Saccharomyces cerevisiae S288C: one gene and its partner. The protein of the gene in region 2 purifies or fractionates together with the protein of the main gene of each other region. This does not show direct contact. Each region holds a gene or a part of one and is shown on either strand. Other genes may lie near its edges.

Evidence for each region.
Region 1: the proteins of CLP1 (region 2) and SEC31 purify together in Saccharomyces cerevisiae (affinity purification with mass spectrometry, with the first as the bait; 2 studies listed by BioGRID). This does not show direct contact.

What each region holds. Positions count from the first base shown.
Region 1 is NC_001136.10:105,462-111,841, reverse strand, and holds SEC31 (Sec31p), read right to left. Parts: upstream 4,635-6,380; coding exon 813-4,634; downstream 1-812. Other genes in the region: SNF3 (glucose sensor), read right to left, coding at 1-262; ASF2 (Asf2p), read left to right, coding at 5,348-6,380. UniProt on the Saccharomyces cerevisiae protein: Component of the coat protein complex II (COPII) which promotes the formation of transport vesicles from the endoplasmic reticulum (ER).
Region 2 is NC_001147.6:800,470-804,447, forward strand, and holds CLP1 (cleavage polyadenylation factor subunit CLP1), read right to left. Parts: upstream 1,839-3,978; coding exon 501-1,838; downstream 1-500. Other genes in the region: APC5 (anaphase promoting complex subunit 5), read right to left, coding at 1-262; TUM1 (thiosulfate sulfurtransferase), read right to left, coding at 2,081-2,995; TMA16 (Tma16p), read left to right, coding at 3,198-3,734; peptide alpha-N-acetyltransferase subunit NAT5, read left to right, coding at 3,908-3,978. UniProt on the Saccharomyces cerevisiae protein: Component of the cleavage factor IA (CF IA) complex, which is involved in the endonucleolytic cleavage during polyadenylation-dependent pre-mRNA 3'-end formation. Associates with HRB1/CF IB to form the cleavage factor I (CF I) complex.

The DNA of each region.
Region 1 (6,380 bases), on a different chromosome or scaffold from region 2:
GCTCTGAAAATAAAATTGAGTTGTCGTCTATGGTAGAAATGTCATCCGTAAACACGGATGTCATATTAGATTGCCTGTCAGAATTTTGCCGCTGCAAGCTCGTAGGGGTTCGTATGCTACCTGTCGTATCATCTGTTGTATGATCTTTGTTACTATTGTTTCGTCGCAGTGCTATGCCCTTCACCCTCTGAAGAGCTTTGTCTAGGAAACCCTGTTTCTCTTGGCGTAATGTTTCGCTAGAACTGTTACTATTAGGATCCATTTATAAATTCTTCTTTCTATGCCAACAAAGGCATATCCTTCTGTTTAAAAAGGTCCTCAGTAAAACTTTTCTGTTTTAATTTCTATAGTGAGGTCAACTTATAGTGACTCTCTCTGTTTTTCTTCAATAAAATGCTTCTTATCTGTCCTATGATCTCTCGATGTGTAAGTACTATCAATGCAATTTGCCGAGGATAGGACTATTGTCTAGTTTTTCTCAGTATGACTGAATTTCCCCAGATTATAGAATAATTGACAGTTCCTCCTCCTTTTGTTCTTTAGAATGTGCGATGCGGCAAGTTTAAAATTTCCCCGGAGATTTGCCGCTCGAGGTGTACATGGTAAAAACATAAGGGAAAGGCTGTAAAAAAGATATAAGAGGTATTGGTTGGTTTTGAGAAGTAATGTTAAGCTAGTTCTAATTGTGATCTTGATTAGGTTTAAACATAAAAGGATAAGTACATAAATATATAAATATAATACTATAAGACATAATAAGAAAAAAACAAGGCCAATACGCCACTTTTTGTACTGAAAGTTTTGAGACTGAATTAATTCAAAGTCGCTTCAGCTATGCCAATCAACCTCTTCACTCCTGTCAGCCAGTTACCACCCTCTTGAGCATGGTTTGTAGCGATATTAGCATGGATGACCATAGCTTCTTTGTATTTCTTTTCCTTCATTAATGCGACGAGGTCATGTAAACAATCGATTGTTGGTTGGGTTAATAAATCCTGCTTTTCCAAATGGTAGAAAAGAATCTTTAATCGTTTATCACAATCCTTTAATTGTTTGGAGTACTCCTTTGGGGTCAATGGTGTTACGCGAGCCAGTTCTTCTTTCAAGAAGTCGACAATGGGTTGTTGATCAGCTGGAATTTCATGACTGACATTCTCAGCGGAGGTATTAACCTGAGAAGCCAAAGTTGGCGGTTGAGAAGGCTGCAATGGAGAGGCCGAGCTGGAAAGGGTTGGAGGATAAGTAGCACCTTGAGATGGGTTTTGTTCTATACTAGCTAACTTGTTGCTTCTCTTCTTCATGCTAATCGGAGGGGGGCCAGTGGGAGGTTTGTTAAAAACGGGAGGAGGAGAGGTCATGGTATGGTTATTAGTATACGGACCGGTTGGAGGATAGGAGGAACCGTTGGGTTGAGTGGTTGCAGTTGGAGCATATGGATTAGAGGCCTTTGGCAACGGAGCTGGAGGCACGCCTCCAGATAATGGGGTTGCTACTCTTTGTTGTGGTGGTGGAGCATAGGGGTTCGATGAAGCTACCTGAGCGGTGTTTGACGTTTGGTTTGCTGTAGAAATAGTACCTATTGGGAATTGTTGTGATGATTGAGGAGGAGCGTATGGATTTGATATGGATGCCCTTGGTGACTCAGAAGTTGCAACCAAGGATGGGACTCTAGAATTTTTGTGTAGAGGAGGTGGTGATACCATTGACACAGAAGAGGGAGCTCTGGAAAGAGGTGGCGGAGGCATGGTACTAGCAGCATTTGCAGGGATACCATTTAATGGAGTTGGTGTCGATAGGATATTTGGAGGGGCAACAGATACAGCCTTGGCACGAGATGGTTTTTCTTTGACCTTCAAAGGCAAATCATTCCAACCATCATTGGCTTTACGGTTGAGATGTGGCGTTTGACCCGATACAGCATTAATTGGAGGTTGTGAAGGAATAGAGCTAGATTGAGCATTATAGTCGCCCATAATAGGCATACCAGGTTGTATAGGAGCAAAAGTGTTTTGCGGAATCGACGTTGTAGATACGTTCGTTGCAGGAACTGTTGCAGTGGCATATGGGTTAGGCGGAGGAGCAAAAGAATTCAATCTGGTCGAGCTATTTGTTTTGTTAACAAAAGGTGACGCCATCGAAGGTTGGCTTGGTGGCGCATATTTACCTTCTGTATGAACAGGAGCACTAGTGGTGGTTGCTGGAACGTACGGCTTTGGAGGTAGAGCATTTGCAGAGGCGCCTGGTGTCATACCATAAAATGGTGCCTGCATACTAGGAATAGAAGTAGTAGAAGGCATTCCAGGAGTTGGTAGTACAGGAACGTTCTTATTTGTCTTGGCGTTTGTATACTTGGCTTTGCTGGTCGTCGCTGTCGCAGGATTTTGTGCCGGTAATGATTTGCCGGAAGCAATCAAGACACGTGCCTTTTCTGTTTTAACCTCTTCATTGTCACTTGGTAAACTATTTAAGAATTCAGTGGCTAGTTCGAAATTTCCTGTGGAAGTAGTTAAGTTGATAAATTCCAAAAATTTGGCAATTAATTGCTCATTATTAATGGTAGAGCTTCCATTAATGAAGTTGGAAAATACGGTGAATCTTTCAATGAACTCAGTTAGACATTCGGAATGAGCTTCATAAATTGTCTTATTATCTTTCTTCAATTTATCCTCCAAATCTGGAAATTCTGATAACCAAATTGAAGCCACCTTATCTAATGATCCGGCAGCCAAGTACAAAGTCAAAGAATCTTGTCTATGACCATTTTCCTTTAACCTGTCTCCCAATTTAATCAACATTTCATTCCTCTGGGCGATATCATTTGGATATAAGTTTTGAATTGCTTTAGAGATAAACTTCCACTGAGAGACATCCAAATTTTCAACCAAATCATCTACTTCCCTCTTAGAAATGGAGTATAGTATCCTCGAGAGCGATGATTTAGATCCATACTTCGCAAAATAGGCATTCTTGACACTTTCCTTTAATCTTTCGTTATTTGAATCTAATGCGATCACCATGGCCTCCATTAGTAAGTCATTCTCTAGAGAATTTTTCACAGCGCTCTTAATGTTGCCAGAAACCAAGTTCTTGGAAATAGTTTGTTCGATATTACCAGACAAGGAGAAATCGCCCTCGGGTTGGAAATTGGTTTCAATTTGTTGAAAGAATTCTTCCCCATCGTCTTCTTTCTCATTGTTGGCATCGTCTTGTGCATCTGATTCATCGTTGTCGAATGCAAGAGCCTCTTTCAAGAACTCCTCAGTACCGTCCATTGATAACTTTTCCAATAAATTCCAATCTTCTTCATTAACGTCATCAATAACTTTGACCAGTCTTTGATTTATTAATGGTTTGAAATCCTTAGTTTTCAACGCTTCACTCAAAGTAGTGTTTGATTCTAAGCCTGAAATTTTTGGGTTTGTTATAGATACACCTTTACCATCTGGAGTAATTTGAACCAATTTACCACCGAAAGCCCAATGAGCTGCGGGAGATGGTTCCCCATACCAAGTTGGGGCTTGTAAATGGAAAACAGTTGGCTTCTCTTTTGATTCCTCTCGGGAAACATTATTCCAAAAATCTGTTTCAGATTCTTGCTGCTTAGTTTCGGTTTCTTGCTCATCCAAAGTGTTTGTGAGATTTTGCAAAGTCTGTACCTCAATTTTGTTATCAAAGGAGGCACAAGCAAATAGGTCTGGAGCCTCTGGTGCAAATTTGGTCTTAAAACACCAGTTTCCACGAGCTGGGAATTGGGACAGTTGTTCGGCTGACTCAGGGTTCCATAGAAGAACGGTATTATCTCTACCACTGGACAATAATAGATGTTCGTCCTGATGACACCAATCTAATGACAAAATACCCTTTTGATGGCCTTGATTTAAAGTCTGCAATGGTGTGTTGGCGTTTCTTAAATCCCAGATCAGGATAGATGGATCATTATCGCTACCAGTAGCCGTTGCCACTCTTGTGGAGTTTTTTGGGTGCCATTCAACAACGGACAGCTGTTGCTTGATACCTGAATTAGGTGAAGTGTAACTTAGATGAATGACTTCCTTCTTAGCCTTCAAATCCCAAATAGATGCGAAATTAGACGACCCGGCAGATGCAAAAACATGGGCCAAAGATTGGTTCCATGCTAGGGAAATGACCTCGTCAACGGACGACATCGATTGACCCGGTGTCAATGGAGTATAATTGGAGGGCGATTCAGTGCATTTATTCATGTCCCAAATAAAAATTTCACCGTTGTTACCACCCGAAGCAAGAACGTTGTCTTGCTTTGCGTTAAACTTTACCGTCTTCACAGAGGAAGAATGGTTGCTAAATCTGGCCATGGAGTTGATAGCGTTGTTTGCTTCATTGGTGGAGTACAATTCCAAACTACCGTTATCCAGAGCACCAGCAATAATCTTGTTATTATGAGACCAATCCAAATCATTGAATTTGGAATCCACTTGCAAGGAAGCAATAGGCTTCTCCGAATCAGCAGCCAACAATGACCACAATTCTAGAGATGAATCAGTGGAGAAATTAGCATCCACCGTACCAGATACGGTACCAGAGACCAATAATGGAATTTTATCATGTGACCACGCAAACGTGGCTGTTCGAGAAAACTCAGCAAGTTTGACCATCTTTATTGTTCAATTAGGGAGAGCAAACGGGAACAAAGGGAAATATGTGTGAGTAAAGTGTCTATCGCAGAAGCTTGCCTTGTCCTAATGTTCTACACCTACAGTAGCGAAATAGTGCTGGTTCGTGACGTGTAAATTCAGAATGCAACCCGACTACAGGAATAGAGGAATGGATCTGACACGACTTGTTTGTTCTTTTCACTTTTCGTTCTCGGGCGGATTGATCGTGTATGGTGATTTTTCACGCTGAAGGGGTAGAACCAGAAGGGGATGGAAGGGGATAGATGAAAAAAAAAAAAATCTATGAAGTAGTAGCAAGATAGGCCAGATCTCCAGTCAATTGATGAGTGTGGTATTAGGCAGAAGCAGAGGACGGTGAAGAAGCATATCACATAATTCTCCACCAATTCTAAACGCACAGTTGCACCTTTTTTGGAAGACAATCTTTTCCTTGACTCGGAGGGCATATAACTTTGTATATTGTAAATTATGAAACCAACTACCAAGGCAGGTATGTTGCATAGCAATGGAGAAGATCTTCTGCGATGCTAGTATTAGCAAAGATGTAAAAGCGCTTTTCATGTCTTTAGGAGCGACGCGACGCGTGAGTAACATATCTATCCATAGGACAAATAAATAAACACCGGGGACGATTTTTGCACACAGCTTCGATCAGTGGAGAAAGGAGGGAAAAAGGCCAAGACTGAGTGCTTATGCCAAAAAATCGTGGTGTCTTGGATGCCATCACTCGCAGTGTGATAGATGGTAGTGATCAGGAGTCGAGCTCATCTTTCAACTCGGACAAGGAATATGCGGCTGTGACGAAGGGCCTCAGCAGCTCAAGAGTACAAAAGAAGTCATCTTTAAGGCAGATGAAAAGCAAAGTCAAGGAGCTTCAATCTTTAGTGAATCATTACCGAGAAAATGAAGCCGCTTTAGTGTCTAGCGCCAAGTTATTGTCCGGCGAGATCATAGGCTATGAAATTAAGATGGCTAGTTTACATGGAAAAATGAAAAGTATCCTGGATGAGAACAACGCGTTAAAGGAAACGCACAAGAGCTCTGCTGAAAAGAGAATCGAACTTGTTCGACTTCCCTCTAGCAAAGAAGAACGCAACTACGATGAATACACTTTGCTTGTTAATCTCAAGAAGGAAATCTGCGCCAAGTTACAGGACTACAAAAACGTCCAGAACACGGTGAACACCAAGTTAGATGAGATTCACACGTTCCATGAAAAATACTACGAAGGACTAGAACTAAGTTTAGACAGCAAGGTGTTTGATGCAGAAAGCTCAAAAGAGCTGGCCAAAGTGAGGCGAGAACTGAATAACGTGAGAAAAAATTCCGAAATCAAAGTGAATAACTTGAAAATGCAACTGCTACAAGCAACCAAATCACTGGAGCACTTGAAGAAGCAGGCTAAAGCAAAGGATGACTATCTTAAATGTATTCCTGAGCTGGTCGACAAAGCCAATCTCACGATGTTATCCTACAAGAAAAGCATCGCTAACCAGAGGGAGACTATCGAAGCATTACAAGCAGAACTATCGCAACAATCAGAAACAAAGGGGCAAATAGAAACAGAAACACAAAATCAAGTACAAATCCCCACCAATGTGACTTTGGTGGACCCCTTTGAGGAAAACAATCCAGAGGATTTGTTCGCTATCCAGGAACAGGAATTGCAAGATCTAAGGTTGCATAAGAAAATGGCCGATGAGAGGAGCCGAACTACCCACTTGC
Region 2 (3,978 bases):
CATCTAACAGTATCCTTATTATATTATCTAGAATAGGAAGTACAGGAGGAGGAACAATAGATGAAGATCTTAAATTACTATTATCCTTGAGCAGAGGATTCCATTCTAGTGAAGGTCTAGTAGGGGATATTAACCGAAGAAATACTGCTGTTGGCACTGATATGCCATTATCTTGTGAGCAGTGAGCATGTATTAGGATTAATATGCATAGATCGTACGGAGTAATAAAGTTAGTAATACCCAATGGACCATACTTACTCATTTTTCTGATCAGTTTTGATTTGCCTTTTCCTTTTAACTCTCGTCGTTTTTTATATTCCTCGATGAAACTGCAGCAGTTTTTTAGCTAGCGCAAATAATGTCAAAGACACAAATTGGCAATATTGTTAATATATAAGCGTTGGAAAAATTAAAAATAAAAATCACCCAAACAATACTTCGACAGTACAGTACGATATTTGTATGGATTTGATATAAGGCTCTTGAACAGATAATTTTACTTACTCTAAATATCTATATGAAGTTAGAATCATCGCCTTGCTGGGAAGTCGGCCTGGGACAGGTAGTAAAACCCTTAATTTACGCCTTTTTTCATTAACTTCTGTAATCAAAGCGAATCCTAAAATAGGCGATTTTATTACTGTTGCCTGATCTGCCCTTCTTTCTGCGAACGTTATGGCTATAATAGCGTGCTGTAGGTTACTTGGAGTTATAGTGACGGGGAACAGTTCCACCCTACCGACCTCGTTATCGAAAACATTGCTAGGTTTCCAAATAGTTAAATCCTCATAATCAACACCAATAGCATAAGGACTCAAGGCTGTATCAAGAGAGCCGTAAAAGTACTCTCTTATGGATGTCCTCTGCAAGGATCTTTTGTATACATCATCAACTGCGGATACACCATCCAATTTAGGAATGAAAAAAATATTATTATTTCCCAATTCTGGACCAAATGTCTTTTTTACTTTCTCCCAAAGAGGATCCGTTTCAGAACATAGTACTAGCATAATGTTAACATTGAGTTTCTCAATGATATGGTGCAGTTCAGCCAAATTTTCATCCAGTTGTGATATTGATGGCGTATCGACAATGCACCCTGATCTCCTGACTTGAGGATCCAAATGTAACCTTTGACCTACTACTTGACCTAACTGGCTTATACACTCAAGGTATAGATCTTTGTTCTCATTAATCCTTTCCAGGCCAAAATTTTTCACCATTGGCTGCTTATTATGTAGTAGTGTGGCACCACTAGTGAGACTCTGACCCCAAGTGGGTAGTTGTGCATCAAGTATATCTGATATTGGGGTGGCAGATATGCATCCAGGAACAGTAAAAATGGGCTGTTGAGGGTCAAGATTGATGTATAGTGGTTGGTAAGCGTTGAATTTCAAAGCGTAAGAACATAGTGTCCTCGATAGGGAAGTCTTCCCGGTTTGCGAACCACCAACAATCACCACTCGAGGGCCTTCAAAGTTAGACATTCGTATCTTCTCCAACATGAAGTGTAGATTATAAATATATTTCATAGTATGGTTAGGCTTGACAGTTATTGTATTCGTAGTTAAATCAGGACATTTCCATAATAATTCTGTTTCTTCGACAGCGTATATGGGAAACTTCCAGTTCTGAAAAGTGTACTCATCATCTACTGCCAACTCGGTGCCAAATATCTCAACTATGCCCGAGTTTACCTTGACTATCAGTTTTCCCTCTGCTTTAAGATCAATTTGCCAATCACTGCCCTTGGGAATAACCAACTTGTGCCATTCGTTATCACCAGTTATCAATTCTTCAGAGGTAGTATGCTCATCAATACCAGGTAGACTTGCCATGATGGTTTAATCGTGTTGGAATTTCGAAAAGAATTAATAGTTTGTTCTTTTCCCTCGATAGAAAGGTCTCTGCTCATTTTTGCCAGCAGTCTTATTTTTTGCTGTTATTTTCTATTTTACCGGGCAATAACAATGAAGAGCACAAATAAGACAAAGAAAGGGAGATCGCCCTTTAAGTAAGTAGATAGATAATTAATATATGTAGCTAAATAAATCGACTTGTCAAGAATATATTTCTCTTATTAATCTCTGTTTTCAGCAATCCACTCGGGCCCGGATTTCAAGACCCACTCGGTCCAGGATCCATCATATAATCTAACATTGGGAACTCCTGCTAGCTCCAATGCTGTCTTGATAATGACTCCTGAAACGCCAGTTCCACAAGAGCAAATAGTTGGTTTACTTGGGTCCAAAGTGCAATGAAAGTCTTTCAATGCCTTTTCCAAAGTAGCGTGTATCGCCTCCCCAGCTTCTGGGTACGTTTTGGTCTCCGGATCAAGTAAACTTCCATATGGTAATGGTTGGGTACCTGGAATATGCCCCGATGGAATGTCGGAACGAGGCTCTGGTTCTGTACCTTCGAATCTACCGAGCGACCTTGCATCGAAAGCATTGAATTTCTTAGCCAGTTCCCCACTCTTTACCAATTGGAACATTTCCTCATAGTCTACAATCTCCTTGTCTTGGAAACTTTCTGAGGACTCATAATGACTCTTTGGATAGGGTGAAAACGCTGCCACCTTAGAGGAATCTAGAGGGTACTTAAACTCTCTGTACTGGTTGAAATTATTTAGTAAGTACACCTTAGGATGTCCCATCACTCCTAATGTCCAAGCACATCTAGGGGAGCTAAAGTTACCAACACGATCGTAAACCACTAATATATCATCTTTTTGAACTCCTAAATTACTCATAGCGTCGTCAAAAACCTTCTTTGTAGGGAACATATGTGGATAGGGCGATTTTTTGTCACTGATTGCATCAATATCAAAGAAAATGGAGTTTGGTATACGTGGTTTGGTCAAGAAATCCACTTTATTATCAAGCTTCCAACTGGGTAGGTACCATGTTGCATCAACTGGAACGATTCTATGAACCTTCTCACTGGCCACTAACTTAACAAACGCTTTTGGAGAAATAAGATCAAATAATGGCATTGAATGTATGGGCAATTTTCTTCACAACTTTATGCTTTTGTCCTCATTGTTTGAATGCACTTACGCTGTATTATTGTACACAGCTGAACATCCCGAGCGAAAATTTTAAAATGGTTTAATAGACGAGATGAGAGATGAGCTCTTTAAAGGTACTTTCTAAGAAGAAAAGTATCGGAACAGGACTTACCACGACAAACTAATCATGCCGGTTACTAAATCTTTATCTAAGTTGCAAAAGAACTTATCCAAGAAAGGGAAAAATATCACGGTTCATCCGAAGGGTAGAAAGTATGAAAAGCTGGTCAGGGCTACTATGCGTGAAGATAAAATCGCAGCCAAAAAGAAGCTTCATCAAGACAAAAGAGTCCACGAACTAGCTCGGGTAAAATTTATGCAGGATGTAGTTAACTCTGATACATTCAAAGGGCAACCAATATTTGATCACGCCCACACAAGAGAGTTTATTCAAAGTTTTATTGAAAGAGATGATACGGAATTAGACGAACTCAAGAAGAAGAGGAGGTCAAACAGGCCACCAAGCAATAGACAAGTGCTACTGCAACAAAGGAGGGATCAAGAGTTAAAAGAATTTAAGGCGGGGTTTCTCTGTCCAGACTTGAGTGATGCGAAGAATATGGAATTTCTAAGAAACTGGAATGGCACTTTTGGCCTTTTGAATACTCTAAGATTGATCAGAATTAATGATAAAGGTGAACAAGTCGTTGGAGGAAATGAATAAGAAGTGTCGCAGAGGAATCTTTATGGTTTATATGCTCTTTATATAATTTTATGTATATTATAGTAGAAAAAGCAAAGAAAAAAAAGAAAATTGATATTATTAGCGAAGCTTTTTCACAAATTAATCCGTAACAAACAAATTGGCAAAGACAATTGAAGGGAGTAGTGCGAAATATGGGCCGTGATATATGCACATTAGACAATGTTTACGCTAACAATTTGGGCATGCTAACCAAACTAGCTCA